2 linked regions of the Caenorhabditis elegans genome follow. The protein of the gene in region 2 interacts with the protein of the main gene of each other region in a pairwise test. Each region holds a gene or a part of one and is shown on either strand. Other genes may lie near its edges. The genes, in order: sgt-1 and trap-4.

Region 1 (17,028 bases), on a different chromosome or scaffold from region 2:
AAAAGTTGAGTTTTTCTTAAATACTTATCAATATTTTCTCCAAATTTCATTCGGTTACTATCAAAAAAAAGTTTTTTATTAATTACGGTCGGTTTAAAGGCACAGAAGGAAAAAAGTGTTTGTCAGTATCGCAGCGATTTTAATTACCGCATACCATTATTGAAATTTTGTTTGAAAAAAACAAATTACTCGAAATGCGCGCGCGGTATTCACCATTTGTATCGTTCTTTTTCCCGAAATTTCGTTGTTTTTGTGTTCGACACAATATATTCAATAGTTTGTAGCGATGAAAACCTTGATAAGCAATAGGGGGCGTCTCGAATTTTCGAAAGAGAGTATAAAGAAGATAAATTTTTTTTCGCTCATTGATTTCTTTTCATTTTTCTTTATCTTTTTTGATGAACAGCAGCAGTTGTTCCATTTCTACACGTATTTTGTTGCTCTCTATTTCTCTGAACTCTCTGTTTGTGTGGGTGCTCTCCTTTGGCGCCAACAACTGCAGCTGGCATTTCTTTTCTTTTTTCGCTGCGAAATCTGAACTATTCCTGCCCACCCACCAGAAGATAAATAAATTCTTCGTGTTCTTAACATGTCTGTCTACCTGGACTTTAAAAACCCCATTTAAAAGTTGCATTTGAGGTCAAAAGTTATCCCAGAAGAGTTCGAGCACATTTTAGGTCGGCCCATTTCTAAAGTTATTCATTTTTCTATGTTTACTATCACTGAACATTGACCAACCACTTGACTTTCGTGATAAGATACGAAGCGATCATTTTCTGTTTACTATTTTCTCTTTTCTCATAGTCAGTCCATTTTATTTTCTGATCTATAATATTTATTTTCAGCCTAAAATGGGAATCGCCGTCGTTGAAACCCCCACAAAACCATTCGCAGGACAGAAACCCGGAACATCTGGTCTTCGCAAACGGGTTCCGGAATTCCAGCAGCAGAATTACACGGAAAACTTTGTTCAAGCAATTTTGGATGCTGGTCTTGGATCGAAAAAGAAGGGTTCTCAGTTGGTTGTTGGTGGAGATGGACGGTTTCTTTCGATGGAAGCCACAAATGTGATTATTAAAATTGCAGCAGCCAATGGGGTAAGAAATATTGAGAAATTTTAGTAATTTTTTTATAAATTTGAGTTTTTCAGCTTTCCCGTCTTATCGTCGGTCAAAACGGTTTCTTGTCGACGCCAGCTCTCTCGAATCTTATCAGAAAAGGACACGAAGGTCGTGTTGTTGATGGAGGAATAATTCTCACTGCTAGTCACAATCCAGGAGGTCCAAAGGGAGATTTTGGAATCAAATTCAACTGCGAAAATGGTGGACCTGCTCCAGATCAAGTCACTGATGCCATTTATCAGATCACAACTAAAATCGATAAATACTTGATTGCCAAGGATTTAGAATGCGATTTTACACAAGTTGGAAGGTAAACACATCAATATTTTGATTACATTGATGTACATTAATTTTCAGATATGAATATGATATTGAGGGAGTTGGTCACTTTGTCGTTGACGTCATTGATTCAGTTACCGAATACATCAACCTCATGCAGAAAATCTTTGATTTCCCAAAAATCAAATCCCTTCTCGCTGGTGAACTTACTGGACGCAAACTCAGAGTTTTACTTGATTCGATGCACGGAGCAACTGGACCATACATCTCTACAATTCTTGTCGATCATCTTGGAGCTGATCCTTCTGATCTTTTGAGAACTGTTCCAAAGCCAGATTTCGGTGGAGGTCATCCAGATCCAAATCTCACCTACGCAAAAACTCTTGTTGAACGCCTCCACACCGGAGAACACGATTTAGGAGCTGCATTTGATGGAGATGGTGATCGTAATATGATTCTTGGAAAGAATGGCTTCTTCGTTTGCCCCAGTGATTCTTTAGCTGTTATTGCTGATAACATTGATTATATTCCATATTTCAAGACTCGTAAGGTTGCTGGTTTTGCTCGTTCAATGCCAACTGCTGGAGCTGTTGATTTGGTTGCCAAGGCAAAGGGACTTCAAGTGTATGAGACACCGACCGGTTGGAAGTACTTTGGAAATCTTATGGATGCTGGAAGAATTGCTATTTGTGGAGAAGAATCATTCGGAACTGGATCTGATCACATTCGTGAGAAGGATGGCGTTTGGGCACTTCTTGCATGGCTTCAAATTCTCGCAGACCGAAAAGAATCCGTCGAGGAAATTGTGACGAAGCATTGGCAGAAATATGGAAGAAATGTGTTCACTCGTTACGACTATGAGAATGTGGATGCAGCTGGTGCCAACTTGTTGATGACTTTCCTTGAAGCTCAATTGCCAGCATTTGTTGGAAGAGATTTCTCGGCAAATGGGGTTACATATAAGGTGAGAGAAAGTTCGAAAAGATTTATTTTTTCTAAAAAATACTATTTCCAGGTTGCTGTCGCTGACAATTTCCAATATACTGATCCAGTGGATGGTTCAGTTGCAACCAAACAAGGACTCCGAATTGTCTTCGAAGATGGATCTCGATTGGTATTCCGACTCTCTGGAACAGGATCTGCCGGTGCTACCATCCGTCTCTACGTTGATTCGTACATTCCTTCAAATGACACTTCTCGCCTTCTACTTCCAGCTCACGAATTGCTCAAACCATTGGTGTTGATTGCACTTGATACTTGCAAAATGGAGCAGTTCACTAATCGCAAGGCTCCAACTGTTATCACATAATTTTAGTATTTAAAAATGATTTATATATTGCATGAGTTTAGCTAAATAATTATGTGTAGATTTTCCTCGGTTTATATAATTTTATGTTGCACGTAAACGAAAAGTTGAATGAAAATTTGAAAACTTATGAGAATATTGTGAAATACATCAATGTTGGTTTTTGGAAAAAAAAGTTGATGTTTGTGGTTTTCTGATGTCGATTTAGTGAGAAATGAGAAACGCAGACACTGAGAGCGAAGGGTTCAAAAGCGCCAGATTGTGACGAATTCTTCATTTTATTCTGAAAAATGGTTTCCTATAAACTAATTTATTTTCAATCTCGTGGAAATGGAGAAATCGCTCGTCAAGTTTTCGCTTTTGCCGGCCAAGAATTTATTGATGAGCGTATTTCTAAAGAGCAGTGGGCAGAAATTAAAAATAGTAAGTTCAAAAGTTGCATTTTAGAATGAAATCCTCAGTTTAAAAAGTTGATTAATTACAATGTAGCGAAATGCTTCAGTTTTTAAGTGGTATCCCGCCACGAACAAAATATCCTCACATAAAGATTAAGGTGTGCCTTTAAGCAGTACAGTAACCCATTTTACAATTTTATTCGATTTTTCCACATTATTAAATAAATTCAATTCGATTTTCTACTGAAAAAAATCGAAAATATAACAATTCAAATATATATTTATTATTGGGGATTTTGGCAGATACTGCAGAAATTTAAAAAACTTTGCAATGCAAAAAAAAAATCAAAAATTCCAGGCTTCTTTTGGAATCATTTTGGCAGAACCTGCAGAAATATTAAAGTTCGGTTTTTTTAAAGAGATGATCGAAGAAACATTGTAGTGTCGAGCCAGCTGATCTAGAGGAAAATGCTCAAACGAGGAGTGGAAAGGAAGCTCTTTTTTCGAGCATGACAATATTATCTCGTTTGAAAATCTCTGAAAATATGTTCAAGTAAAAAAAAACAAAAAACGAGCTATCAATGAAAGTTTATTGAAGTTTTGGAAAGTTCACAAATCCTATGGGTTGTACTCGATTGGGAGGTTCTTACGACGAACCATACCGTCTCCTTGGAACCATTCCCGACGGAATTGCTTAGCAGCACCATCCGGAGTGTTGGTCCACTCAACAGTGATACGATCGTTGTTAGTGTCCTCCTGTCCAAAGGCGAAGGCATCGCAGGAAACTGCCAGAAAAACAGCTTCCTTTGGGTCCAGAACTCCACATGGTGGATCAACTCCAAGTCTCTTCATATTGGTGGTCTTGATACCGTATCCAATACGGCGAGCAGATGAGTTGATCACCTTGATGTGGTAGGTGTGCTTGTCGTCGTACGGGGCATTGAACACGATCTTCGTACCCGGCTGGGTCTGGATATCTCCTGGTGGGACGGATTGGGCCATGGCGACTTCTTTGTAGAGTGAGAAAACTCACAGTGAAGATTATGACAAAACCTTCTCTATTTATGCAAATCCTTATCACTGTCCTAGATCTTTACGTCACATAATGTTCGAAAAGTTGAATGAACTTTTGAAAATTCGTGAAACTTTTATTCAAATCTTCAAAAGAATATCGAAAAATAGGAGATCACTTGAAAATTTTTTTTTATTCAACAATTTCAAAAATTATCAAAAATCATTCTTTAAACGAACAAAAAATCCTGTGCTCAGAAACATAAATATTTCTTATCTTAATATAATTTTCAGTGACCCCATTTGGACAAGTTCCAGTTCTAGAAGTTGATGGAAGACAACTGGCACAATCGATTACAATTGTTCGGTATCTATCAAAACAATTTGGAATTTCTGGAAAATCATCATGGGAAGAAGCTCAAGTTGATGCTCTCGGTGACCAATTCAAGGATTATCGTGTTGAAGCACGGCCATTCTTTAGGGCCAAAATGGGATTTTCCGATGGAGATGTAGATCAACTTTACAAAGATTTATTCGTTCCGGCTTTCAATAAAATGTACTCAATTTTCACTGAATCTTTGAAATCCAGTGGAAGTGGTTTCCTTGTTGGAGATTCTTTAACTTGGATGGATTTGGCCATTGCTCAACATTCAGCTGATCTCTTGGAAGCAGATGGAAAAATTCTTGATACATTCTTGGAGATGAAAGATCATCAGAAGAAAATTCATAGTATTCCAAATGTTAAAAAATGGATTGAAAAAAGACCAGTTACATCTAGATAAATTATAGAACTATTTATTTTAGTGTTCATTTTTATCTACCTCGTAAAATATACCAAGCTATCAAACAATAAATAAACCATTATATAATAGCAACATCTTTGATTTGAAACTACACGGTCTGAAAAGTTATTTCATTGATTTATGTACAATTAAAACGGATAGGAAATCAATAGGTAATCGTGCCTAAATCATGCCTATTTCTGTGGTCTCATTTTTGAGCAGTAGGCACATAACTCTTGGGAAACGATGAGAGATCTGATCTGACTATATAGTGGGAACTTCTCTCTTCTAACCTTGTGAGTGGGTTACTATAGTCAACATCAAAATTTCAGAGATTCAGAGACACAAAGATTGACTGAAGTAGAAAAATTTCTGAGGAACTCTAAGATTGACAACCATTACTGTCAGAACAGAGTATATATCATAACAATCTCTAATAGCAACAAAACTAAAAACATTTTGTTAAAACGAAATATTAATAAATACAACGTTTAGATCTAGGACAGAGATAAGAGCGAAATTTGCTATAAATTGAGCAGGTTTTACCATAATCTTCACTGTGAGTTTCCATACTCTACAAATAAATCGCCATGGCCCAATCCGTCCCACCAGGAGACATCCAGACCATACCTGTGCGGCATTCGGCATTCGGCATATGCCGATAATGCCGGATTTTGGAGCGGATTTTGGAGCGCGGCATATGCCGTTATGCCGGTTTCAAATTTCACGGCATATGCCGTAAATGCCGTTATGCCGAAAAATAAAATGACCGGCATAACGGCATAATGCCGACATTATGTCGGCATTATGCCGTTTTTTTTTTGCATTTTTGGCTTTGGTTTTTTTTTGCCAAAAACCATATTTTCATAATTTTCGTGTATCCGATGAAACATAAAGATCTTGCAAATAGTAAGGTTTTTTCGCGGATTGTTCCATATTTGAGATTTCCTGAAGCTTTTTGCTCAAGCATTTAGAAAATTTCTGCAACAATTTTTGCTTGGATCGAAAATTGTCTGAAAATGCACCAATATGTTTCAACGCGTGTACATTAACATATTTGAATTTTTTTGCATGTTTTCAGTAATTTCCATGATATAAAAAACAAAAAGTACACTACCAATGTACTCCATTAAATGTTATTTTGAAACTGGAAAATTTAATGTTTTGCGAAAAAATGAGAATTTTGTGTGAAATTCTCGAAAATCTCACTAATGATCCGTCAGAAGGTGCCCATCGGACTTACATACAGTGCCGGCCAATATTCTATTCGTTTTCGGTATGTGGGTGATTAGCTTGAGTTGTTCAAACACGTGTAACTCAAAAACTGTAATAGTTAGCAAAATATTCCAAACTAACAAAATGTTGCCGATTACTTTTTCTACATTTTTTATTTTGTAAAAATAATCCAACTCTGTTCCAAAAAAAATTACAGCAGCTGACATCCGGTGGTTCCGTTTTTGACTTGAATTTCTAAATGATTCACAACTTTGAAACTAGATGTTTTCAAGAAACAAAGTTTAATGAGAAAATAATTTCCATAAAGTGTTCTACGTTTTGCAATGTGTTTTTTGTTACAAATAGACCAGGAGATTCTATGAAAACAATTAAAAATGAAGCACAAAGTTTGACATTTTAAGCATGTTCTGAAAATCGAATTCAAACTTTTCACAGAGCAGTTTTCGCATGGAAAACTTAAAATGCGAATAGTTTTAACATGTATAAAAAGTTTTTCAACCCAGAATTTGATTTCAAAAAAATATTGCATGCATTATGAAAACATGTTGTCAATTCTTACCCTTCTATTGAAGGTTTAATATTTCGTATAGATTTCGTATAAATCGTATAAATGTTCCTGGCCACTTCGTGACAAAGAAACAAATTGTAAAATGTAGAAAAATTTGTGGAAATTTTTTTCTTGTCAAACTTTGTTTTATGAAAACATCTAGTTTTAAAGTTGTGCGTCACTTAACAATTTCTGTCAAAATACCAACCCGCCGGATGTCAGCTGCTATAACCGTAACTGTATGAGATTGAATGAAATAGATCTAATATGTAAGTCGCATGAGCACCTTCTGACGGATTCCTAGTCAGGGTGTCCCATAGCATTTGGACGGTCGACTTTTCAACTTTTTGCTCTTTATCCTTCAATTTGAAATGTGAGTATAAAATTGTAGATACATAGGTTTTTTGGTATGCCAATATTAGTTTCCCAATAAAGTTCGCAGATGCCCTATACAGCTCAAATGGAGGGGGATTGATAGCAGTTGGGCGCATTAAAGTACTCCTATAGAAACCTAAAAACATCTAACCAATAACCCCAACTCAATATCTTGTCAAAAGCCAGTGTTACGCCACATACCAAAATCAGACGAATACTATTTGTTAGATATTGGTAATGATATAAAGAACATGGAAGTTTGATTGAAAACATTCAAATCATGTTGATTTTTTGTAACTGGAAAACAATAGTTCCCTTTAGAATCATAAACATATATCGTGCTCCTTCTTGCACTTATCAAAATACTGTTAGACTAATTAGTAAAATTGAAGACCTTGTGGAACATCAAGGCAAAGTTGTAGTTGTGGGAGATCTTAATATTGGAGGTATCGACTGGGGCCTCAACGACTAAACTAAATTAGGTTCTTTATTAGTAGATCTGTGCAAAAACCATAATCTGGAACAATGTGTCAAAATGCCAACCCGCAAATCGAAAATTCTGGATGTTGCTCTTTCTAATTCCGTAATCAGCAATTTAAACATCATGGCCCCAATAGGGTCTAGTGACCACAATACCATTAAATTTACGGTACAGCTCTTACAAAATATATCTGTCCCTAAGAAAATGATACCAGATTTTTCGAAACTGGACTGGCCCTGCTGTGCAACATACTTTGAAAACATAGAGTGGGGAAAGGTATTTGATACCCGTTCCCACGTGAACGATATTTATGAATGCTTTCTAGGCCACATTAGAACAATGTTTTCGCAGGCAGTCCCAACTATGCCGATGCCAGAGACTTCAAAACCAGTGCCTCAATATTTAAGGTCTTTTGAACAAATGGTAAAAAACCAATTCAGCAAAACGATAATGTCGAAAACTATGAATGATTTTATAGAATACATTTACCTAGAGAGAAAATATAGAAAAAAGTTGCGGAAGTATCTAAGTAACCTGGAGGTAAAGTTATTAAAAAAAAGGGCAATAGTAAGTTTAGTAAACACGCAAAAACTCTTCTGAACCCGCGAAACTGTAGTGTTCCAACCCTGATAGATAATGACGAAAATGAAATTGTCTCTGAACTAGACAAAGCAAATCTTCTAGCATCCTACTTTGAGGCTCAGTATACAAATCAAAATAACAAGAACTTTGCTCTAGCCGATGATTTTGTATCAGAGCAACCAATTCCCTGGGTTACTGATGCAGAAGTTCTAAAAGTGATCATGGCCTCGAAAAAGTCTTGCTCTGTAACAAGCGACCAGGTCCCATTTACGTTTATAAAAATACTATCGCCTCTCATCAGTAGCGTTCTGGCCCAGATTTTCAACTTGAGCATGATGAGAGGGCAAGTCCCGCACGCTTGGACCAAATCCATTGTAATACCTCTTGGAAAAATCACTAACGCTAACAATCCAACCGACTTCAGACCCATTAGCTTGACCTCGCACTTGTGCAGAGTTTACGAAAGATGTATATTAGCAAAAATTGAGTTATTTCTAGTAGATAACAAATTTTGGTCACAAAATCAACATGGATTCCGCCCCAGAAAATCAACGGTGACTAATATGTTAGAATCTTTGAATGATTGGACTAAAAGTATTGATCTCGGTGAGCAAATCGATATCATATACCTAGACTTTTCCAAGGCTTTCGACCGCCTCCCACATGACTTACTTTTAGATAAACTCGTATCTTTAAGAATGAACAAAAATTTACTGATATGGTTGAATGAATTTCTGTCAAATAGAAGCTTTAGGGTTAGAATTGGGCAAACGCTGCCATCCAGAAAATTGGCCACTTGTGGCGTCCCACAAAGCGCAGTTCTGTCACCACTTTTGTTTGGTATCTATGTTAATGATATATCATCAATATTACCCGAAAAAGTAGCATGTAAGCAGTTTGCAGATGACACGAAATTGTATGTATCGACCCCTAAGACTGAAAGCGAAAACAATTTACAGTCTGCTCTAGATGCTGTAGTAGATTGGACAAGGGGATCAAAACTCACTCTAAACCAATCTAAGACAGTTCACGTCACAGTAGGAAAACGTAGAATAGATTTCAAATACCACCTAGACGGTTACCCTATTGAGCGAAAAGCTATTACCCGAGACCTTGGATTTTTAATCTCTGAAAAGCTGGATTTCTCTGAGCATTGGAGGAAATGTATCAATCTAGCTAAATTTCAACTGGCCAACATGTTCAACCAGTACAGTACCTCCAATAAGAAACTAATGATTCTCTTATTCAAAACTTTCATCCGCCCTCGTTTAGAATATGGAACAGTAGTGTCTTCTCCGACAAAAAAATCGGATGAGAAAGCAATAGAGTCTGTACAAAACGCATTCACTAGGCGCCTTTATAGTAGAATCAAAAAAAGATATATTAATCCAACTGATAAAGATTACAAAACTGCCATGGAACGTAACGAACTATTCGACTTCCAAACCTTAAGCACGAGACGTAAAATAATTGACAGAATCCAAATAATCAGAATGAATACTGGTAAAGTAGACTTAAAAACATCTGAGTTTTTTGAGCAACAAGAGACCCACACTCGTTCTAAAAAGAAATATATCTGGAGCACAGGAAAATCTAAACTTAGGAGACACTTTTTTGTTAACAGAACACTACCCACAATGAAGCAACACTGATCTAATGTTACCTTATCCTCACTTCTATCCATCATTTATTCTTGCCATTTATACATCGATATTTCTGTTTTTGCTTCTTCTCCAATGTAGCCATCATTTTCTTCTCATCTCTTTTTATTTTTGTTTCGTTTTATTTGTGTAATTTATTTATGTAACCACTTGTGATGGTTTGTATCTATTAATGTGTGTTTTTTTTTCTACCTCACGATATTTTACTATCGTAATAAATTAAATTAAATTAAATTAAAAATGCCGAAATGCCGAATGCCGAATGCCGGCATAATGCTGGTTTTTGGAGCGCGGCATATGCCGAAATGCCGATTTCAAAATTCACGGCATATGCCGAAAATGCCGTTTTGCCGAAAAGAAAAATGGACGGCATATCGGCATATGCCGATATGCCGAAAAAAATTTTTGGCGGCATATGCCGTTATGCCGTTATGCCGAAAAATTCCGAATGCCGCACAGGTATGATCCAGACCCAGCCGGGTACGAAGATCGTCTTCAATGCACCATACGACGACAAGCACACCTACCACATCAAGGTGATTAACTCCTCGGCTCGCCGTATTGGATACGGTATCAAGACCACCAATATGAAGAGACTTGGAGTTGATCCACCATGTGGAGTGCTCGATCCAAAGGAAGCTGTTCTTCTGGCAGTTTCCTGCGATGCCTTCGCTTTTGGACAGGAGGACACTAACAACGATCGTATCACTGTTGAGTGGACCAACACCCCGGATGGTGCTGCTAAGCAATTCCGTCGGGAATGGTTCCAAGGAGACGGTATGGTCCGTCGCAAGAACCTCCCAATTGAGTACAACCCATAGGATCTGTGAACTTGCAATACGTTCAATAAATGAAATTTGAAAGTTCAGTTTTTTGTGTCTTAAACTTTTCAGCTTTTAAATTTTGGTCCCTAAAGGAGCTTGTGTGGATCTCCAAATCGAATACAACCTTTAGAAGGCTTAATAAGAAAGTTCAATTTGTTTTTAATAGACTTCTTGTGCAATAAATCGAAATCTCCTTGTTTTTTCTGTATTGAACCTTTCAGCTTTTAAGCTAAATATGGTCCCATACGGCATTTCAGGCCATTTGAAGGCCCATATGATTTGCAGGACCCAAAGGGTCCTAGTTGATATTATGTACATATAATCATTTATTCAATAGTTAATAGAAATGCAAATTGCCAAAACGAGTTCTTCCAAAGTTCCTTCGGCTTCTCCTCCATCTCAATAAGCTTCTTCACTTCGTCTTTTGATATTCAGAGTCCGAGAGACGAGCCTGGAGTCATAGACTCCTACAACGGATTCTGAGTCTACGATAAATTAATTTTGGAATTAATTTCTGAACAGAAATGCTTTTGGACTTTTATCAACACAAAAAATTTGTTTTCAGCTCGTGAAACTACTGTTTTCCTCTGAAAAATTCAAATTTCGAGTCTACCGTTCTTGTGGGTACTGTATCTGAAAATGTTTACTCCTGGCATGTCTCAGTGTTTAAAACTTGATTATTAACATTTTTATTGAGCCATTAATGACAATAAAGTGCAGTAAAATAAGAATAAAATTATAAAACATTTGATGCCAAAAAAGTTGAAATGGTTAATGTCGCTGAATAGACTCAGCCAAATGATACATTTCCAGTCATGATGAGAACTCAACGGCTGAAATTGTAAAGGAGCAGCTGTGAGTATCGATTTTTGATTTTTTGGTGAAGAATTAGATGGAAAACTGATAGTAAAAAGTGTTCTAGCGGGGTTGAAAACAAATGATTTTTAAACGAGTGTTTTATCGTGTCATAATAGAAGCTGAAGATTCCGAAGATATAGAATTTGGAGAACCAACATCTGAATCGGAATATTTTATTTGCTTCATTGGTTTAGCCAGTAGATCATCTTGTGGTGAAGCTTCTCGTTTGATTGCAAGATTTCTGGAAATTCAGAGTTAATTTTAGTTGTAAAATATAGGAAACTTACTCATTATGCTCGTTGACTGAAGTTTCGAGTTCTGAAATTAGATTGCATTGTAGTTATGGTAGTTTTAATTTTTCGATTTTCAAGAAACTTTGCAGCTACAAAACTCACAAGTATTCCACAATTTTTCCTTAAATTTTTCAAGATTTATAGTGCTAAAAAAACTTGGTATTTCTATGAAAAAATTAATATTGCCACATTTTAGGAAATTGCAAAATACTTCTGGGTACGGTAGCTTTTAAGTTCTAGTCGTGTTGAGACCGAGTACCGTATTTTTATTCGAAATCACCGAATTTCACAACTGGCTATTAATGTTTTCGGAGCAAAAAAAAAACGTACCATCCTTATCTCTAACGAACCAACGTCCACCACTGGGACATTTGTCCCATTTAACATTTAGAAATGACATAAGCCAATCCCATGCTTCATCATCCATCTCTGCCATTCGTTCTCTATCATGATGAATTCCAGTTTTCAGACGACGATCGTATTGTTTATCCAAGACTTCTTGCCACATTATTGGTAACTGGAAAATTGGATTGTATTTATTTTTAATAGTTTTTTTTCTTGGAAAAATCGCAATATTTTAGTTGAAAAATATACATCTTTGCGTTTTCTTATGGAAAAATTGGAAATTTTCTGATAATTTTTTTGGGAAATCTTTAATTTAAAAAATCTAATTTTTCATGTATTTTCAGATGAATAAAACTCATTTTTCGTCTTTTTTCCCCGGGAAAAAACGTTTTTGTTGGTGTTTTTTTTAGAAAACGCGGTAAATCAAAACTCACATCTTTTAATAAAATTTTCTTCGCTGTTCCAAATGGGAATGTGAATTTGTTAGCCATTAATGAAACACGGCAATAAACTGGATTCGGTTGCTCCAAGTGTGGATCCATTCCGAGAATTACTGTTAGATATGTCAGCATTTTACGTTTTCGTCCATGATATGTGTGAAGTTCGCCCAATAGTGGATTACAGACCTGAAATAATTCGTTTTATACGGGGTCTGGTCTCGACACGAAAATTGTCCGTTAAGTGAAAACTGGTGTGCGCCTTTAAATAATACTGTAACTTCAAACTTTCGTTGCTACGGAATCTTCAATTTTTTCGAATTTTTTTGCAGTGAATTGACGAGTTCATGTGTTTTTTCAAACACAAGTTGTTAGTGAAAATCTATGGAAATCGATAAAAATTCTGCATAAACGAGAATTTGAAATTACAGTACTCTTTTCAAAGGCGCACACCTTCTTTCATTTTACAAAAATTTGTCGTGCGAAAATCGAAAAAATTATAGTGTACCTGAATAAATCTCTCTAAAGCTCCTTTCTTAAGTAAAAAAAGAAGAGCAGGTTCTGGATGTTTCGCACTATGATCTTTAATTGAAACACTTTCAACTTGTGATAATGGAATTCCAATATTCAATGGTTCCTGGCTGTCATCAATCGAAAGTCGAATACGGAAGCAGATTTTTTCCTAAAAAAAATTAAATTTATTTGATCATTTTTAGAGTTTTTAAAACACAATAATGCTCGTCACGCAATAAATTTTCTACTTACAGCTGAATTGACTCGAAACGTCAGTGAAGAATTAGGGAGAAGTGGTAGAGGAACGTCACCGAGAAGAATTTGTTTCGGGTACATCTGAAAATAACTTTTAAAAGAATTTAGATTGACAGAAAATTAAATTCCTACATAATTTCTATACGTTGGATCCAGATTACGACATTGTTCAGTTATGAAAAATCGAATCCTTTCGTGGCGTTGCATTCTGAATTTATTTTCAAATTTGAGGTTTTTTACAATTTAAATTGTTTAATTTAATACTAAAATATTTCAACAAAAAAATCAAAAATAAAGAAAATGTGAGTACTCCCGCGCTATCTTTCGTTTGGGTGCAAATCGATAATTTCGTGTTGGAGCGCGTTTGCAACCAGTGTGTCTGTGATGGAAAGAATATTTCGACAATATTTATTATTCGTGAAAAAAAAGAAAATTGACCCAATTTTTTGTTGGTAGTTAAAACATGACCATCTAATTAAAAACAATATTTCGATAAGGCTTGAATCGGGGGCGATTATAACATCATCATTGTAAGGGGAAATTCTGCGAGAGAAACTAAAAAAAACGAGTAACCATAAGCGACTTCGGCTTTTTCAAATCACATGAGAGCAGAAAGTAAAGACGAGAGAAGGGGAAAGAGAGAGAGAGAGAGATAACGAAATGGAAATTCGTGATGCGGAAGGAGATTGGCGGAAGAGATTATCTATTGTGGTGGGTTTGGTGGTGGTGCTCCTCCATCGGCTCCGGGGCCGAATTGGCGTCGAAGATTTTCAATAAGTTCTGGATTGGTCTCTTGCATGCGAGCAGCCATTTGCTGGCCAGCAGCCATCAAATCAGCGATTGATCCATTTCCAGACATCATGTTGTTGAACTGAAAAATTCAATATTTTAGAGCATACATCATCAAAAAACAAGCAATAATAATGAAAAACAATTAATTTTGACGGCCACGTGCATTGCCATTTCAATTAAATCTTTTATTCCCGAAAATTTGATACTTACCATATCAGAAAGTGCTGGATCGCTCATCATCTGTGAAGCAGCTTGCATAAGTCCTGGCTCGTTCATAAGGTTTTGCATGTTTGGCATTCCTGGCATAGCCGGCATTCCTCCCGGTCCTCCTCCCATGGCTCCCAAAAGCCCAGCCAATGGATTGGCACCTGGTGCCGGTCGCGAGCTTTCCAGCTCCTTCAATTTGTCTTCAGCAATTTTCAAATTATTCTTGTAACTCTCTTGATTTGGTTCAAGCTCCAAAGCCTTCTTGTATGCCTCAGCGGCATGCTCATATCTGTTTTGGCAAGAATATGCAAGACCCATTCTTCCCCAAGCTTTTGAGTAAGATGGATCAAGGGCAAGAGCTGTACGACAATCTTGGATGGCCAAATCATATTGTTCCAGGCGGCAATAAGCAGCAGCGCGGTTACAGAAGTAGACTGGATCTCTGTTGAGCTTGATGGCGGCATTGTACTTTTGAACAGCAGCTTCAAATTGGGAGGCTTTCATTAAATCGTTTCCTTCTTCTTTAAGCTTGTTAGCTTGAGAAATATCACTATCGCTCGGTGTTGGAAGAGCAGATTCTCCCTCTGGAAGTCCTTCGGCGCTCTTGAAAAGTTCGAGAATTGGGCGTGATGGTTGGAAAGCGTATGAGGCATCATCAAGACCAAACGAGTGTTCGAGACATTGAATTGCAACTGAAATTTTAATATATCTTAAGCTAAATTTATAGAAATAAATAGGAAAAAACCTTCAAGAGCTTCCGCTTGCTCGGCAGTGGCCTGATTTTGTGAAACCTTCTGGCGGATAAACTGAAGGAATGAGACAACCAAATTTTGCTCGTCTCTGGTCACAATTGGCGAAGCAGTCGGCGCATCTGGAGCAGAAGGCTTGATCTCCTCGGACATTTTCTTAAAAATAAAAATATATTTATTAAATAATTTTATATTGAAGTTAGAAAAGTAATATAAAGTTGAATTGAAAATCCATGATAAAGCGCAGATTAAAATATTCTTAAAAATATATAGTTCAAGAAATAGAAAATGGCATCGCTTAAAAATGGCATTCCGTGATTATTTTCACTCGGGAATCGCTCGCCCACTATGGGGGAGTCTACGCAAGGACAACGCAAGGACAAGGACAACATTCTAATGGAATGGAAACGATTGCCCGACTGCACCAATTCTAGTTCGAGCGAACAATGATAACTTTTGTATTCTATATTCCTTCACGTCTCCCAGCGAGCGTAATAAATTATTATTATTATTAAAAAAAAAGAGTATTAATTTTAAATGCTTAACTTAAAATCTGAATTTAAGCGCTCTATTTGCGAAATTTGGTCAATGAAGAGTGAAATATTGTAACGAGAATAAAATTGAAAAGTTTTTGAACAACGAAGAGTAAAATTAAAGATTGCAACGTCATTTTATTTCAGAATCAGTGCAAAAATTTCTGGAAATTGCGGGAATAATTTCATCAGCCTCAAAGGCACATGTCGGCCGTCACTTTGATGTGTCTCGCCACGAAAGTAAACCAAGTTCAACTGAAGAGACGGCAGACAACTTGACAGAAAAGTTGCAGCAGCGCGTAGAGTGTATTGTAAAGTTGAGAGAGTGCTAGAGAAAAAAAAAGAAGCGAGAAGCTGACTGGTGGCCCCAGGTCTCCTTCCAAAAGCCACTCATTTCCCTCTGTCGACACCCGTCAACTTAAATTTTTTGGGGCCAGAGACGTCTGGGTACCAAAAGTTTTATTTCAAGCTTGTTTTATTCGTTTTTGTTTCAAAAAAAAAGTGTGATAGTCAGGAGAACGCTGCTGTGAAATTTGTTGTTTCTGTAAAAAATGAAAAAAACAAATTGAAATCAAGCAAATTTTAATTTATTTGTTCGCAAAGTCCTTTTTCACTATGTTCCAAGCTTTCTTTTACCCAAATTTTCCGTTCGAAATGTGTTTTTTAAATGAAAACTTGTTCAAATTTGCGGAATTTTGAAAATACTTGTATTTGAATAATATTTACCCAGCCATTCTGCCTGTCATTCTTATTTTATACTGTTCAACTCCTCCCAAACTTTCACTATCTGTTTCCTAAATAAATAAAACTATATAAAATTTCGCACATTTTCAGTAATTAAACTGTCACTCTTATCATCTTCTTCGTCTTCCACCATTCTACAACATGTCTCAATCGGAAGAACAGAACAAAGACATTCCATCATCTTCAAATTTTGGAAACCCAGCAAATAATGGCGTTAATGTGCCAGATGCTCCTGCGCGACGACTCTTCGATAACACTTCTGACGAATCTGATGTTTCACTGGATAATGATGGTAAGAATTCGAATTTTTCATTCAGATTGAATAAAAATCAATAATTTATTTTTTTCAGACAAAACCGGGGCTGAAACTGACGGTTCCTCTTCAAGTCGTGGATGTCTGAAGAGCGAGAGATCTCGCAAAGATCATGCCAGCACGTCATCAACAAGAACTGTTCGTGCACCACAGCAGGTAATATATTTGTTTTTTTAATAAAAATTATCAAAAAAAAACGATATGAAGACATAAAAACCATGAAAAGTCGATAAAAATACCACAAAAGTTTTAAGTTACAGTAATTTTTAAAGGCGCACACCCGTAAATGCGGTTCTCGGTATCGACACGACAGTGTTTCGTAGATAACAAACAAGTGTGCGCCTTTAAAAAGTACAGTATTTTCAATCTCTCGCTCCTGCAGAATTTTT
Region 2 (16,430 bases):
CGTGTTGATTTACGGGCTTAATTTTGAGGCCCCACCAAAACAGAATGCACCTCAAAACAGGATTTACCAAAACAGGATTCACATAAACAGGATGCAGTGGGCGGAGCGAATTCGCAAGCCTCGCGCACGTTTTTTCCTTGATATTGTTGCATTTTTTCAAGAGAACACACGTGCGAGGCTTACGAAATAAGCGTGCGCTGGTTGCGAATTCGCTCCGCCCACTGCACCCTGTTTATGTGAATCCTGTTTTGGTAAATCCTGTTTTGAGCTGCATTCTGTTTTGGTGGGGCCTCAAAAATGAGCCCGTAAATCGACACAACCGCTACAGTAGTCATTTAAAGGGTTACTGTAGTTTTCGCTACGAGATATTTTGCGCGCGTCAAATATGATTTCTCAGGGGCATTGCGCTTTGAATAAATTTTTGCAGAGATTCAGAATATATATATATATATATATATCATGCCACGTCATCTTATTATTACGTGGAATACAATTACAATTTTACAAAACAACCAAGAAAGAGGCGGAGCCTATTATCGATTTATCCTGGCACGTGTAATTTAGAGTGGCAGAACGATCATATTCTGCAGCGTCGCACAGAAAAATAGGCGGAGCCTGGTTTTGCAAACCTGCGGCGCATGTTTTACACGACGGCCGGCGCGTGCCGCAGGTCTGCAAAACCAGGTCCCGCCTCTTTTTCTGTGCGGAAAAATCGATAATAAGCTCCGCCCTTTTCTTGGCATTTTTTAAATCGAATTTAATCAAAAAAAATTTCCAGACACCAACACCCTAATCCGCAGAACAACACGACCCTCTCCATGAACACACTTTTTTTTTCTTAATTTTTTTTTCTTTCAGCTGAAATTGTTAAAATTTTCAGTTTTCACGAACAGCTTTCATTTTAAAATGACTTTATTCCTACTTATCATCTGTATTTAATTTAATTTAATAAAAAATTTTGAAAAAAAATTAATTTTAGAATCTACACACACGAAATGTAGATGATTCTCATCGAAAATATATATGGTTTATTTATTTTTCAGTTTTTCCAGAATTTTGCGAAAAAATTAGCGCCGCACAGAAAAAGAGGCGGAGCGTAATTTTGCAAGCCTGCAGCGCGGTTTTTTTCAAAATTGATTTGTCAAATAAAATTCCGATTTTCTTGTAAGATTTTGGCCAATATTTTTTTTACAAAATAAAATCAATTAAAAAAAAGAGGAAAAACCGTGCCGCATGGTTGCGAAATTAGGCTCCGCCTCTTTTCCGTGCGGCGCTGATTTTTTTGTTGCAAAATTCACGAATTAACCGGCTCACTTTAGAATGCTCGGCGATGAGTACGGTAGTCTTGTCGTGGTGGCTACGGTCGCCACTTTGGTTATTGTCGCAGCGTCGTGGATTCTCAGACAGTAAGTTTAACAATTATTACCGGAATTTTGCAATTTTCGCGCCAAAAATACGGTATTCCCGGTCTCGACACGATTTACAAATTTTTGTTAGATGCGAAAGGGCGTGCGCCTTTAAAGAGTACTGTAGCTTCTGATCTTTCATTGTTGTTTTATAGGCGAAAAATCGATAAAAATTCCAATAACTGAAATTACAGTACTCTGGCTTCCCTCATAAATTGAAATGGAAAAGTTTTTGCCGAACTAGGCCATTTTGGCTCGGCCATATCTGGGGTAGGTTTACGGCGCGTTGCGTGTCGCGTCGCGGCTCGATTTTAATTTTAAAACTATATTTATTTGTTCGTATGGAGTCCTGCAGGCGATTGTCAATGGAGCGCGATAAATTCAATGAGGAAGGCCAGAACCCCCCGTGAAAATTTAAAAAAAAACTTTTCGTGTCGAGACCCGATACCGTATTTTTGGCGCCGCGAAAATCGCACAATTTCACGTCTGCATAATAAGAAAATTCATCTCCAGCTCCCCAATAATCATCAATGCAGTATTCGCCGTCGTCATTTCCATTGCAATTTTCGCGTTTTCAAGTCTCGTAAATCGATCGATTCCGGAGACTTTTGAGCTATTATTCCGGATGGTAATTGGTCCACAAGACTCTTGGAATAGGTTTTTAAAATAAGTTTTTCTGAAAAAAAACGATAATTTTCAGAGTGTATATGGTGGCATTTTGGCTGGCAAATGTCGCGATTTCAGTGATTTTTTGTGCCTACGTTTCATCGATTGGAAGAAGTAGTACTGTGCATAGGTTGGGGATTTTTTTTGGAAATTAATTTTTTTTATTAACTCCAAATTTACCCCTGATTCCGAATTTCTATGTGAAAAATTAGAAAAAAACCCCCTGATTTTATATTTCAGCTTGAAATCGCGCCGGAGACACTCAATGGAGCGCGCTGTGTCATGTGGATTTACGAGATTTTTCGATTTCATTTTTTTTCGGGTTTTCTTAAAAATTTGAGTTTTCGTGCCAATTGACCATTTTATTGCCATAAAACTCGCGAAATTTCTCGCAATTTTCACTGAAAATAGGAAATTTCTCGATTTTTAGGATAATAACATGTTCAAATTCGTACGAAAAAGCAAGTTTTCAGAAAAAAAACCGGGAAAAACTAAAATTGAAAACTCTCGTAAATCGACATGACACGGCGCGCTCCAACGAGAATGTCTCCGGCATACCATGCCTACCATGCCTATAATACCTACCATGCCTACTATACCTACCATACCTACCATACCTACTATACCTACCATACCTACCATACCTATAATACCTATGATACCTATAATACCTATTATACCTACCATGCCTATAATACCTATAATACCTATAATGCCTACTATACCTACCATGCCTACCGTACCTACCATACCTACCATACCTACCATACCTACCATACCTACCACACCTACCATACCTACCATACCTACCATACCTAGAATACCTACCATACCTACCATACCTAGAATATCTATAATACCCACCATACCTATAATACCTACCATACCTATAACACCTATAATACCTATAATACCTATGATACCTATAATACCTATTATACCTACCATGCCTACCATACCTACCATACCTATAATACCTATAATACCTATAATGCCTACTATACCTACCATACCTACCATACCTATAATACCTACAATACCTACTATACCTATAATACCTATAATACCTATATTACCTACCATACCTATAATACCTACAATACCTACTATACCTATAATACCTATAATACCTACTATACCTATAATACCTATAATACCTATAATACCTTCTATACCTTCTATACCTACTTACCTACCGTACCTACCATGCCTACCATACCTATAATACCTACTATACCTATAATACCTATAATACCTTCTATACTACTTACCTACCGTACCTACCATGCCTACCATACCTACCATACCTACCATACCTACCATACCTACCTATTGTTTTGTGCTAATTTTTTGCTCGTTAATGATGTTGAAAAAGTTGCAATTATTCTAAAATTCGGTCACATTTTCGTAGGCATGGTAGGCATGTTAGGTGTGGTGGGCATGGTAGGTACGGTAGGCATGATAGGCATGATGGGCATGTAAATTTATAAACGTTCGCAAATTTTCAGAAAATTCTTCCATCTAACCGTCTCCCTCATCTACATCTCTGGAATTCTCCTGGATCCTCTATTCTCGTGGCTCTGCGCATGGCTCTGGTTGTGCATTTTCACGCTCGTCGAGTTGCTCCGCTATTTGAATGTCCCACCATGGGGTGGTGTGCTCAATGAGCATTTGTTGATTTTTAAAGATGCTCAGGACTCGGAGCTACTGCTCACTCCGATCTATCTCTTGGTTGGGATCTTTCTTCCATTGATGGTGTCCTGCTGGGATGTTGGAAGCTTTCAGCCGACACTTGCGATTTTTGCTGGGGTAGCTGCAGTAGGGGTTGGGGATTCGATGGCGGCGATTGTTGGCTCGAAATTTGGAGTTACCAAGTGGAAGGGGTAAGCAGGCCGATTTTTGATTCGTTTCGAAAATCGAAAAATCGAAAATTTTTGACTTTTTGGAAAAATGCCAATTTTTCAACAAAATAAATTCCCGCCTTTTTTCGTACATTTTTCGAGATTTTTTACAGTTTTTCGATGCTTCAATAAAAAAATTCGATTTTCTCTGAAAAAGGGTCTCGACACGAAAATTTTCTGCTAAATATAAAAGGATGTGCGCCTTTAAAAATCAATTTTTTTATTTAATTTTTTTTTGTTAAAAAACAGTTTTTTCGAAAAATCAATTAAAGTTCCGGAGAAACGAATGTTTGAAATTACAGTACTCTTTAAAGGCGCATTACAAAAAAAACAGCAAAAATTGTCGTGGTGAGACCGTATTTTTGGGCAAAAATCGCGTAAATCATAAATTTGAAACTCGCAACAACAACAAAAAAAATTGAAAATCAAGATAAAAAACGAAAATTTCCGGCAAATCGGCAGTTTGTCGACAAAATTTTTTTTTGAACATTGAACAATTGAACAATTCCGGCAAATGGGCAATTTGCCGAAAATAAAAATTTCCGGCAAATCGACAAGTTTGCCGGAATTGAAAACTTCTGAAAAATTGGCAAATTTCTGGAAATGAAAATTTCTGGCAGATCGGCAAACCGGCAATTTGTCGAAAATGAAAATTTCCGTTGCCGGAATTGAAAATTCACTGCAAAGTGACAATTTACCGGAATTGAACATTTCCAGCAAATCGGCAAACCGGCAATTTTCCGAAAACTAAAATTTCCGACAAATCGACAAGTTGCCGGATTTGAAAATTTCCGGCAAATCCGCAAACCGGCAATTTTCCACCCCCTGATTAGTATTTTAAATCCAAATTTCGCTATTACTTCATTTTAAAAAAATTTAATTTAAAAAAAAATTTCAGAAGTAAAAAATCGCTGGAAGGATCCATCGCAATGCTCTTCTCAATGCTGGTATTCCTTCTAACCACAAATCTTTTCATCAAAGATTCATCTTCAACAATTTCAATCATCATCGCATCTCTTGTAGCCACATTGGCTGAAGCTTTCATAAATTCAATGGATAATTTTATACTTCCACTCGTCACCTATCTTATTCTATGACTAACCGCTAGATATCACATTTTCTAATTAATTGTTTAATATATTACCTATATGCGAAATTTTGGGATTTTGGCGCCGAAAGAACGGTACCGGGTCTCGACACGAAACAAAATATTTCATTGAATGCGGTGCGCCTTTAAATGAGTACTCATTTCGGCTTGATCTACGTAGATCTACAAAAAATGCGGCAGAGTTCTCAACTGATTTCGCATGGTTAAGAACGTGTTGACGTCACATTTTTAAGGGCAAAAAATTCCCGCATTTTTTTGTAGATCAAACCGTGTTGGGACAGCCTGGCACCACGTGATGAGCACTGTAATTTCAAATTTCCGTTGCTGTCGATTTTTATCGATTTTTATTTTTATGATGAAAAATCCATGAAAATTCCGAGTTTTTAGCGCAAAATCGCAGTACCACTTTCGGGTTCATATGCTTGTAATTCATTCCGAACATGTAGATTTTTTTCACTTTTCTCCCCGTTTCTCTGTACTTGTATTTCAAAATATTATAATAATAATCTATTTATTCATAAATATAATAATCACACAATTGTTTCTACATAAGATTTCTATACACCACCGCTTCTTCTGCCATCTGTTCATTGGATCGTGGCTTTCGCTCGGGCTCCTTATCATGTGACGCAAGTTTTTGGTAGATTTCGTTATCGCCAAAGTCTCCGGCGCGGCGGGGAAGGATATGAATGTGAACGTGCTGAAAATGTTCAAAATTAAATTGGTAAAATGCTGCGGAAAAAAGCCCGTACTGGAACAGTCTGCCCAGCATCCTTCCCATCTTGCACACAAATCGTCGTCGACGTCACATTATGATGCTTCTCCAGCATTGCTTGAACCTTTTTCGCGACGATGAACAAGTCGGCAGTCTCAGCATCAGTCAAGTCGGTCAATCTTGGGACTACTCGTTTTGGGCTTACAAGAACGTCTGAAAATGGGGGAAATTAGCTTAATTTTAATTTTTTTTTTAAATAAATAATTTCACACTAACGTCCATCAGTGACTGGTTTCAAGTTGACAAATACAAATGAGTGCGGAGTACTGTAGAAAATATGATCAGCTGGAATATTGAATCGGGCGAATTTCAGGCCACCAGTTTCAGAAGATTTTTCATTTATGTGAAGTGTGTAGAGATCGGAGCGTCTGTGGGAGAATACTGGTTGCATTTCACGAAGAGTGTCCACGTAGCTCAAGTCGATTTCAGCAAAGCACATGTCTGAAAAATATTGATTTTTGTTTAATTTTAGTAAAAATCGATAATTTTTCTATTAATAAGCTTGTCTAATGTTTTAAAGAATTTTTAGAATTTCTTAAAATTTTCTGGAAATTTCTACTTTTTTTTGAGTTTTCTAGATTTTTTAGAATCAAAAAAAGGTCCGACTTTTCTTAAATTTTCTAGAATTTTCTAAATTTGTTTAAAATTTGTTTAGATTTATTTTTTAATTCTAGAATCTTCTCGAATTTCTTAGAATTTTCCGGACATTTCTAAAAAATTTCTAATTTTTTTCTTAAATTTTCTAGAATTTACTAATTTTTTAGAATTTTCCAGATATATTTTTTTAATTCTAGAATTTTGATTTATATAGAATTTTTTAGAATTTTTCAAAGAATTTACCAGAGATTTCTAAGAAAATTCAAAATTTTTTTGAATTTTCTAGATTTTTTAGAATTAAAAAAAAAGGTCCGACCTTTCTTGAATTTTCTAGAATTTTCTAAAAGGGATTAGAATTTTTTTTTCAATTCTAGAATTATCTAGATTTTTTCAGAATTTTTTTAGAATTTACTAGATATGTCTAAGAAAATTCAATTTTTTTTAAAATTTTCTAGATGTTTTAGAATTAAAAAAATTTCACAAACTTTTCAAAAAAAAATTTTTTTTTCAATGTTCTAAAATTCTCTAGTTTTCAAATCTTTTTTAGAATTTTCTAAAAAATTTCAGAGTTTTTGAGAAAGTTTTGAAAAATTTTTTTAGCATTAAAGAATTGAAATATGTCAGATTTTTCTGAAATTTTCTAGAACTTTCTAGATTATTTTTATAATAAATTTTTTTTTTAAAAGAACGTTCAATTCTAGAACTTTCAAAAAAAAATTCCAAAATAACCATAAAATTTTAGATTTTTTTTTATTTTTCAATGATTTCTACATATTACAGGAACCCTAAATTCTGAGAATACGTATTGCACAACATATTTGACGCGCAAAATATCTCGAAGCGAAAACTACAGTAATCCTTTAAATGACTACTGTAGTGCTTGTGCCGATTTACGGGTTCAATTTTTTAAATGAATCGATTTATCGCTAGAGTACTTAATTAAGCGAAAATTGAGAAAATTCATTTCAAAAATGAAGCCCGTAAACCGACAAAAGCGCTACAGTAGTCATTTAAAGAATTACTGTAGTTTTCGCTACGAGATATTTTGCGCGTCAAATATGTTGTGCAATACGCATTCTCAGAATTTAGTGTTTCTGTAATACAAATCATTGAAAAATTTGAAAACAATGGCACAAAAAACGGAATTTTAGAAAATTATAGGAAAATTCTAGAAATTTTTCGAAATTTAAAGCCTTTTTTTAATTCCTGAAAAGGTTTTTACTTTTTTTGAATTTTCTAGAATTTTTTAGATATATTTTTAAATATTCTAGAGATTTCTAGAATTTCTTCAAATTTCCAGAATTTTTAGAATTTTCTAGATTTTTTCCTAATTTTTTAAGAATTTTTTTTCCAATTTTCTTTTAGAAAATTTAGCACTTTCTAGGCTTTTCTAAAAAATTTTAGACTTAAAAAATGTTTTAAGTTTTTCAGAATATTCCGCACCAACTCTCTCGGAACACTGTGCAACAACAGCGCCCCACGGATCAACAACCATCGAATGCCCATAAGACTGTCGTTTCGGATTGTGGGCCCCAGTTTGAGCAGCCGCCACCACATAGCACTGATTCTCGATTGCCCGGGCACGAAGCAGAGTTTCCCAGTGAGCAAGACCTGTATTCAGTGTGAATGCACTTGGAAATGAGAGCAGTTGGGCGCCGCGTTTACGGTTCCACAAGGACAGCTCTGGGAAGCGAACGTCGTAGCAAATTGAGAGTCCGAGACGTCCGATAGGGGTGTCAACTGGAGGAATCATCTGGAACTCGGAGTAGACAGACAAATTGCCGGAATCGAAGATTTCTGGCAAATCGACAAATTGCCGGAATTGAAAATTTCTGGCAAATCGGCAAATTGCCGGAATTGAAAATTTCTGGCAAATCGGCAAATTGCCGGAATTGAAAATTTCTGGCAAATCGGCAAATTGCCGGAATTGAAAATTTCTGGCAAATCGACAAATTGTCGGAATTGAAAATTTCCGGCAAATTAACAAATTGCCGGAATTGAAAATTTCTGGCAAATCGGCAAATTGTCGGAATTGAAAATTTCTGGCAAATCGACAAATTGCCGGAATTGAAAATTTCTGGCAAATCGGCAAATTGCCGGAATTGAAAATTTCTGGCAAATCGACAAATTGTCGGAATTGAAAATTTCCGGCAAATTAACAAATTGCCGGAATTGAAAATTTCTGGCAAATTGGCCAAATTGCCGGAATTGAAAATTTCTGACAAATTGGCTAAATTGCCGGAATTGAGAATTTCCGGCAAATTAACAAATTGCCGGAATTGAAAATTTCTGGAAAATTGGCCAAATTGCCGGAATTGAAAATTTCTGACAAATTGGCTAAATTGCCGGAATTGAAAATTTCTGGAAAATCCACAAATTGTCGGAATTGAAAATTTCCGGCAAATTGGCCAAATTGCCGGAATTGAGAATTTCTGGCAAATCGACAAATTGCCGGAATTGAAAATTTCTGGCAAATTGGCCAAATTGTCGAAATTGAGAATTTCTGGCAAATCGACAAATTGCCGGAATTGAAAATTTATGGCAAATCGACAAATTGTCGGAATTGAAACTTTCCGGCAAATTGGCCAAATTGCCGGAATTGAAAATTTCTGGCAAATCGGCAAATTGTCGGAATTGAACATTTCTGGCAAATCGACAAATTGCCGGAATTGAAAATTTCTGGCAAATCGGCAAATTGTCGGAATTGAAAATTTCTGGCAAATCGACAAATTGCCGGAATTGAAAATTCATGGCCAATCGACAAATTGCCGGAATTGAAAATTTCCGGCAAATTGGCCAAATTGCGGAATTGAAAATTTCCGGAAAATTGGTCAAATTGCCGGAATTGAAAATTTCTGGCAAATCGGCAAATTGCCGGAATTGAAAACTTAAAAAAAACCTCAGTGCCAGCCTTGCTGAACTCGCTCTCCATCAATCGTACTTTTCCAGGAATCTCCAAATCGAAGAGGTGAAGCTTGTTGTACTCAGCACGAGTTACTCCATCGGAATCTATGATCAGATGGGTGTTCCATGGATGAGCAGCGTCTGATGGATCCTAAACTTCTGAAGTTCAGCCATTATTAATTTTTTCAAGTATTAACCTTGTGATGAAGGCCTCCTAGTGAAAGCCAAATATTGTGTTTTCTCGCCAACTCCCGATATTTTTCCATATATTCACAGTCCGTAGCCATCGCCAAATCGATTTGCTCATTTTTGTTGAGCCCAATGAAATCGAAGCATTCTGGTAGGAAAACCATCTGGAAACATTTTTTTTACATGATTTTAAAAATTATTCGATTTATGATTAAAATTGCCACATTTTTCGGAATTTTCGAAATTTTTTTTTCCTATTTTTAATCCAAAAATTCCCGTTTTTTCGACGGCAGCTTTGCTCCGGGAGCCGTAGAATTTTTACCTCGCACTTCTTTTCTCCGGCTCTTTCGATCATATTTTTCGCGGCTTGAAAGTTCTTTTCCAGATCGTTGTCGCTTGTCATTTGACATACTGCGATCTGAAAATATTCTTGGTTCGCAAAAATTTGGAAAAAAACTTATTTTTTTGGGTCTCGAAACGACCGAATTTTGGGAAACGCGGATTTCTGGCTTCCCTCATAAATTGAAATGGAACAGTTTTGCTGAACTAGGCCATTTTGGCTCGGTCATATCTGGGGTAGATTTACGGCGCGTTGCGTGTCGCGTCGCGACTCGATTGTAAAACTAAATGTATTTGTCCGTGTGGAGTCCTGCAGGCGATTATCAATGGAGCGCGAAAAAATCAATGAGGAAGGCCAGAACCCCGTGAAAAATTCGCAGAAAAAACTGAAAAATTGGAAAAATATTTTTTTTCAAAAATACCATTTAAAACTATCCCAATTTTGATAAAAAAGTTTATAAAATCCAAATTTAACTAAAATTTCGTATTTTGCGCGAAAATTACGGTACCCGGCGGGTCTCGACACGACAATTTTTCGTTGAGGGGTGCGCCTTTAAAGAGAGGTACTGTAGCTTCAAACTTTCGTTTTTTTCGGAATTTTTATCGACTTTTCATAGTTTTTAAACAAATCGATAAAAAAGTTTAAAACTACAGTACTAAATTTGTCAATTTGCCGGAAATGCTCCATAACGGCAACTTGCCAATTTGCCGGAAATTTTCATTTTCGACAAATTGCCGGTTTGTCGATTTGCCGGAAATGTTCAAAAGCGGCAACTTGCCAATTTGCCGGAATTTTTTAGTTCCGGCAATTTGTGAATTTGCCAGAAATTTTCATTGCCGCCAAATTGCCGGTTTGCTGATTTGCCAGAAATTTTAATTTCCAGCAATTTGCCAATTTGCCGGAAATGTTCAAAAGCGGCAAATTACCTGCAGGTCTCACCACGAAAATTTTTGCTACATGTTTTTTTAATAATGCGCCTTTAAAGAGTGGTACTGTAGCTTCAAACTTTCGGAATTTTTTAAATCGATTTTTCATAGTTTTTTTCAAAACAACTCGATTAAAAAAAAAATTTTTTTTCTAATTTGTCGTGTCGAGACCCAGAAATTTCTGGAAAAAAAACCCCCGAAAATCTTACAAAATGCCGTCCAGTCGCCATTGTTCGCCGAAAAACTGTGCTCAGCATGCGGCTGTATAACAAGGAAATCAATTGAAAATTAATTTTCTAGTGTTTTTTGGCAATAATAATTAGGGAAAATGACCAGATTTATGAATAAAAAGTTAAAGCCAAATTTTTCGGGGGGAAAAATCAATTTATACACACTCGGAAGCACCCTAACAGAAGAAAAAACAGTCTAAAAAACACTGAAAAATAATATCTAATTAGATTAATCATCCTTCTTTTTATTATTATTATTATCATGGAGTTTCGTCGTCGTCGGCTCATTGAGCTTCTCATGCTCCTTCTGTAATCGTTGAACTTGTCCAATATGAGCAGTTGTCGCGTGAACACTGTTCTTACGGCTCACACTTCGAACTCCAAGGTGGCGATAGCTGGAAAATATGGAAAATTTTGGGGGTTTTTCAGTGAAAAATAGCCCGAAAAATTGGATTTTTAGCCAAAATCTTCAATTTCTGTCACTTTTTCCTTGAATTTTACTGATTTTTGTGCCAATTTCGATCAAAATAGAGCCTATATAGGCTTAAAAACGCGTAAAAACTACCAAAATCGAGCTTTAAAGCAGCGCCGCACAGAAAAAGATGCGGAGCGTATTTTTGCAACCCTGCGGCACGATTTTTTCCTCCTTTTTGAAAAATTGATCTTTTCCAATAAAATTTCGATTTCACTAGTTTTATTCACTTTTTTCGAAAAATGTGAATAAAACTAGTAAAATCGAAATTTTATTGAAAAAAAAAACCTTTTTTTAAAAATGAGGAAAAAACCGTGCCGCAGGGTTGCGAAATTACGCTCCGCCTCTTTTTCTGTGCGATGCTGCTTTAGGGCTCGATTTTGGTCATTTTTACGCGTTTTTAGGATTATTAAGGCTCTATTTCGACCAAAATTGGCATAAAATCGGTGAAATTCGACATGGAAATTTTGCCAAAATTGGGAATTTTAGAAGAATTTAGCCACAAAAATGTGTTTTTTTTGTCAAAAAATGGATTTTTCCCCTAAAAAAAATGCTCACCGATACCAGCGTCGTCCGTAATGTGCCTTATTCAGCTCATATTCACTTCGGACCTTGTACTCGACTTCTCGAGCGGTCTTCAGTTTTCCCAATCTTCGGAGAGTCCAGAAAGTGGCTTGAATGAGCAAAAGTGTCGTCATGTAGCGGAATGGCATTGCGATCTGAAAATTTAAATTTTTATTATTACACATACGCGAAAAAATACATTTTTTTGGAAAAAAAAATTATTTTTCTGGTTAAATTCTGCTAAAATTCGTAATTTTTTGGCAACATTTCCACGTCTTTTGTAGTATTACATATACAAAAATACTGTAATTGGTCTCGACACGATAACATTTTTTCTTCAATGTAAAAAAGATGTGCGCCTTTAAAGATTACTGTAGTTTTACTTGTTGTAATTTTCTTTGTTCTTCGTGAGAAATATTAAAAAATCGATGAAACTCCACAAAGTTTGAAACTACAGTACTCTTTAAAGGCGCACACCTTTTTAACATTGAAGAATTTCGCGTCTGTGTAATAACCAGGGCTTCCCTTTTTGTTCCTTTTTTCTTTAAAAAATTAGTTTTTTCAATAAAATTGATTTCTTTACAAAACATGGTTTTTGTCTAAAAAATCGTGCTTTTTATACAAAAAAATTGGGTTTCTTCCGAGAAAATCTGTGTTTTTTCCAAACAAATTGTTATTTAATTAAAGTTTTCGAAAAAACATCTGAAAATCCTCCGAACCTTGTACAAAATCAGCGAAACCACCACAACTCCGGCGGTTTCGGGCGTATTTTTGACCTTTTCAACGATAGCATCCGGCATATGAAGCCATTCGAGCAATGAAATCACATCAACTCCACTTTTAACCACCAAATACAATGCGATAAACCATGCTGTACACGATGCCGCGTGAGCCGGCACAGCGATATACCAATATCTTTTAAAATAATATTTCACTTTTGCGAACAACGTTTTCGGCGCTTCTTCCGCCTTCATTTGCTCGATTTTCGCCGTTTTTGCGAGTTTTTGCTCCTCAGACATTGTCATTCTGAACATTTTCCATTTTTGATCGTCTGGCTTCTTCGGAGTGGGCTCTTTCTCGTGGAGTTGTCGACTTGTGTGCAGGAATCGTGAGCTTGATGGGGTCTGGAATTGAGCACAACAGATGCTCCGCGAGCATCGGATTATGGATCGAGCCAAAAGCATTTTGCCTGAATGAAAATTTTGGCCTAAAGGGGGTCTTAAAATTATCTAAAGTAAGTTTCCCGGGGATTTACACTCTCAACTCTTTAAACTTTTTTTTACGTCAGTCTAGCAATTAAATTTCAATTTATGGCTATTTGGGGGCTACTGAACTTATAAATACACGAATGGGGTGGAAAAAGGGGCAAAAATCAATAAATTACATTTTGTATATATAAATAAAAACAAAAAGAACAAAAACCCAGCACGCAAACGTGCGTTGACCAGTAATTTGGGGATAAAAACAATGATATTTAGTGGACAAGTTCGGTCTTTTGACGAATGGCGTAGTAAAGGCCAATGACGACGATGATGACGGCGACAGTCTCGGAAGAGATTGGAGACTTCGTGGCGAGACCCTGCAAAAAATGATTTTTAAAGATAATTATGTGAAAATGATGCAATTCTCACCCCATGGCTTTGTTGAACGGTGAAGAGTGGCTTGGTGACAGGGTTCTTGGCGTATTGAGCGGCTCCCTCCTCGTCGAAAATGTTAATATTAAAGGTTTGAGCTCCGGCGTCCTTGTGCTCAAGAGTCCATGAGACTTGGAACTTGGCGGTCTCGTCGGAAATCGAGACTGGGATAAGGCGACCGTTTACTTCAGCAGTGTATTGGATATTCTTCGGGTTGTTGCTGCATTGAAGTGTGAACTCGGTGATGAAGGTGGTTTTGTAGTGGAAGAATCCGTCGGTAGTGGAGAATGACGAGGCCGAGTACTTTGGCGACTCGCACTTGGCGCCTGGAATATTTATTGTTTTATTTGTATTAAATGTTAACAATCTACGCTTAAAATTCGAAAAATCGAGCCTTATTTTTATACAAGCCACACATTTGAATAATTTGTGTGGGAATTTATTAATTTTTCCAACTTACAAAGAGCGGAAGCGACAAGGCAAAGGGCGACGGCGATCTTCAGCATTATTACCTGCAAAAAAGTAATTAAATTCGTGTTTTGAAGAATTATCTTGTAAAATGAGTAAAATAGGCATTCTATACGTATTTTACTCGAATTTGCATCATTTTAACGCACAAAATTCATGTTTTTAGGGTAAAAATCAAGAAAATAAGTGAAAAATTCATTAAAAACACATTTTAATTCACTAAAACGATGTTTTCTCGACAGTTTCACGTAAAACAAACTCACTTGGCAGCTAGCCAGTTTGCAGTTCTCTCCCGTTCGCTGCGAGACCCACACCGCTGGGAAACTCCATGCGCCTTTAATGCCGATCCAAAATCGATCGTTCAAGAACTTCTTTTGCGCTTCAAAACTTTTGCAAACTGACTTTTTCTCCCGTTTTTCTGCTTTAAAAGTTTGCGGAAAAATTATTTTATTTATTTTATAAGCTATTTTCGATTTCTGTCCCATAAATTCGTTTAAAAAAATCGAAAATAAAAGCGTTCACTCTAAAACGAAAATTCTAGTTCCAGATATCATAAAAATGGCTTCTAGTAGCAGTGGTGGAGCAGGTGGAGCAGGTGGAGCAAGTGGAGCACCAGAAGTCAAGATTCACAACGTATATATGTCAAACGTGGAGGAGGAATTCGCGAGGATTCGAGGATTCGTCGAGGTACAGCCGATCGTTTGAATATTTTTAAAAAATCGGTTTTTTTTCAGGATTATCCCTACGTGGCAATGGACACAGAATTTCCCGGAGTTGTGGCGACACCGTTGGGCACATTTCGAAGCAAGGAAGATTTCAATTATCAGCAAGTGTTCTGTAATGTGAATATGCTGAAATTAATACAAGTGGGCTTTGCAATGGTCAATGACAAAGGAGAGCTACCACCGACTGGCGATGTTTGGCAGTTCAATTTCAATTTCTCCTTCGCTGAAGACATGTTCTCGCATGAGAGTGTCGAAATGCTCCGGCAAGCCGGAATAGACTTCACATTGCTGCAGGTTTTTTTAATATTGATTTTCCAATATTTTAATAATAATTTCTTTCTTCCAGAACAATGGAATACCGACAGCAGTATTCGGAGAACTTTTGACGACGTCAGGCCTCATCACTGATCCACGGATCACATGGCTCACGTTCTCTTCCGGCTACGACTTTGGATATTTGTTGAAAAGCATCACACTTGGAGATCTGCCTAAGGAAGAGTCAACGTTCTTCATGTGCCACAAAACTCTCTTCCCAACCAGCTTCGACATCAAAATCCTGCTCCGAACTCCAAATTGCGCGTCTGCAAAGCTGAAAGGAGGACTTCAAGAGGTCGCCGATCAGCTGGACGTGAAACGACAAGGAGTTCGCCATCAAGCTGGATCCGACGCACTGCTGACCGCCGCCACGTTTTTCAAGATCAAAAAGCAGTTTTTCGGAGACAACTGGAACCAGATTGCTCCATTGATCTGTGGACATATGTTTGGTCTTGGATCTTCGCTTTCGCTGTTCCATAGCTCCGGATCAACTTCTCGACTAGGCGATGAGACACCACAAGGCCTAATCGGAGTTCCACAACAAGCCTGAACAGATCTCTTTCCCGTCATTTTTCATGTGTCTATTTCTTTTATTTTTTTCTTCCTTTTTCCACCAAAAACCGTCTACACTGTTATTGTAAATTAGCTGTCTGTTTCGTGCCCTTCCCCATCTCTCACCCAAGTTTTTTGTGTTTTCACGCGCCCTATAATTTGTCTTTGTTATTATATCTCCCTATACTTGATGACTATACGCTTAGTTGTTTATAGGTGATCATTACTCTGAAAGTTCGATCTTTTTTATTTGTAATTTTCAGCAGCAGTAGAAGCTGGGCGAGATCGGGCGCCCCGTGTATCTTTTTATTTTCATTTTCCCTCCCCTATGCCCAAAAAAATAAAAATTTTCGAAATCTACTCGCGGAAACTTTAAATTTTCAACTAAAATAAGGGTTTTTGAGCCTGAAATTATCTTTTTCAGCTGTTTTGTCTAGATTCAAAGCTTAACAAAAGTAGTATTTCAGCAAAAAATGCCGAGCGGTGGACAGAGGAAGCACACGATTTCGAACAAGACACGTAAACGTCCCGGAAAGGATTTGGATCAAATCCATGAGGATTTGAAGCCTGAAAAGGCCGCCAAGCTTCTCCAGCAAGAGGTTTTTCAGATTTATTACTCGAAATAAACCCTTAGAATTCGCAACACTGCCGCACGGTT

Evidence for each region.
Region 1: the proteins of trap-4 (region 2) and sgt-1 interact in a two-hybrid assay, tested with the Caenorhabditis elegans proteins (2 studies listed by BioGRID).

What each region holds. Positions count from the first base shown.
Region 1 is NC_003280.10:4,888,592-4,905,619, forward strand, and holds sgt-1 (SGTA homodimerization domain-containing protein), read right to left. Parts: upstream 15,206-17,028; 5' UTR 15,203-15,205; coding exon 15,046-15,202; intron 14,993-15,045; coding exon 14,304-14,992; intron 14,173-14,303; coding exon 14,005-14,172; 3' UTR 13,697-14,004; downstream 1-13,696. Other genes in the region: pgm-1 (phosphoglucomutase (alpha-D-glucose-1,6-bisphosphate-dependent)), read left to right, coding at 852-1,097, 1,151-1,431, 1,479-2,364, 2,416-2,709; gst-9 (putative glutathione S-transferase 9), read left to right, coding at 2,997-3,129, 4,407-4,894; msp-33 (Major sperm protein 33), read right to left, coding at 3,720-4,103; msp-32 (Major sperm protein 32), read left to right, coding at 10,238-10,597; R05F9.9 (MSP domain-containing protein), read right to left, coding at 11,558-11,699, 11,746-11,776, 12,082-12,268, 12,531-12,722, 13,042-13,215, 13,299-13,382, 13,434-13,508; btbd-10 (BTB domain-containing protein), read left to right, coding at 16,468-16,618, 16,677-16,795.
Region 2 is NC_003281.10:11,918,529-11,934,958, reverse strand, and holds trap-4 (Translocon-associated protein subunit delta), read right to left. Parts: upstream 14,225-16,430; 5' UTR 14,219-14,224; coding exon 14,173-14,218; intron 14,039-14,172; coding exon 13,710-14,038; intron 13,658-13,709; coding exon 13,553-13,657; 3' UTR 13,372-13,552; downstream 1-13,371. Other genes in the region: Y56A3A.7 (Homeobox protein cut-like), read left to right, coding at 779-793; dolk-1 (dolichol kinase), read left to right, coding at 1,321-1,406, 1,920-2,063, 2,107-2,202, 3,581-3,955, 4,872-5,070; nft-1 (Nitrilase homolog), read right to left, coding at 5,626-5,781, 5,834-6,009, 6,073-6,297, 7,897-8,206, 9,353-9,508, 9,555-9,710, 9,869-9,964, 11,022-11,069; Y56A3A.22 (DUF1279 domain-containing protein), read right to left, coding at 11,272-11,437, 12,073-12,233, 12,798-13,262; ccf-1 (CCR4-NOT transcription complex subunit 7), read left to right, coding at 14,739-14,867, 14,915-15,199, 15,252-15,770; znf-593 (Zinc finger protein 593 homolog), read left to right, coding at 16,246-16,371.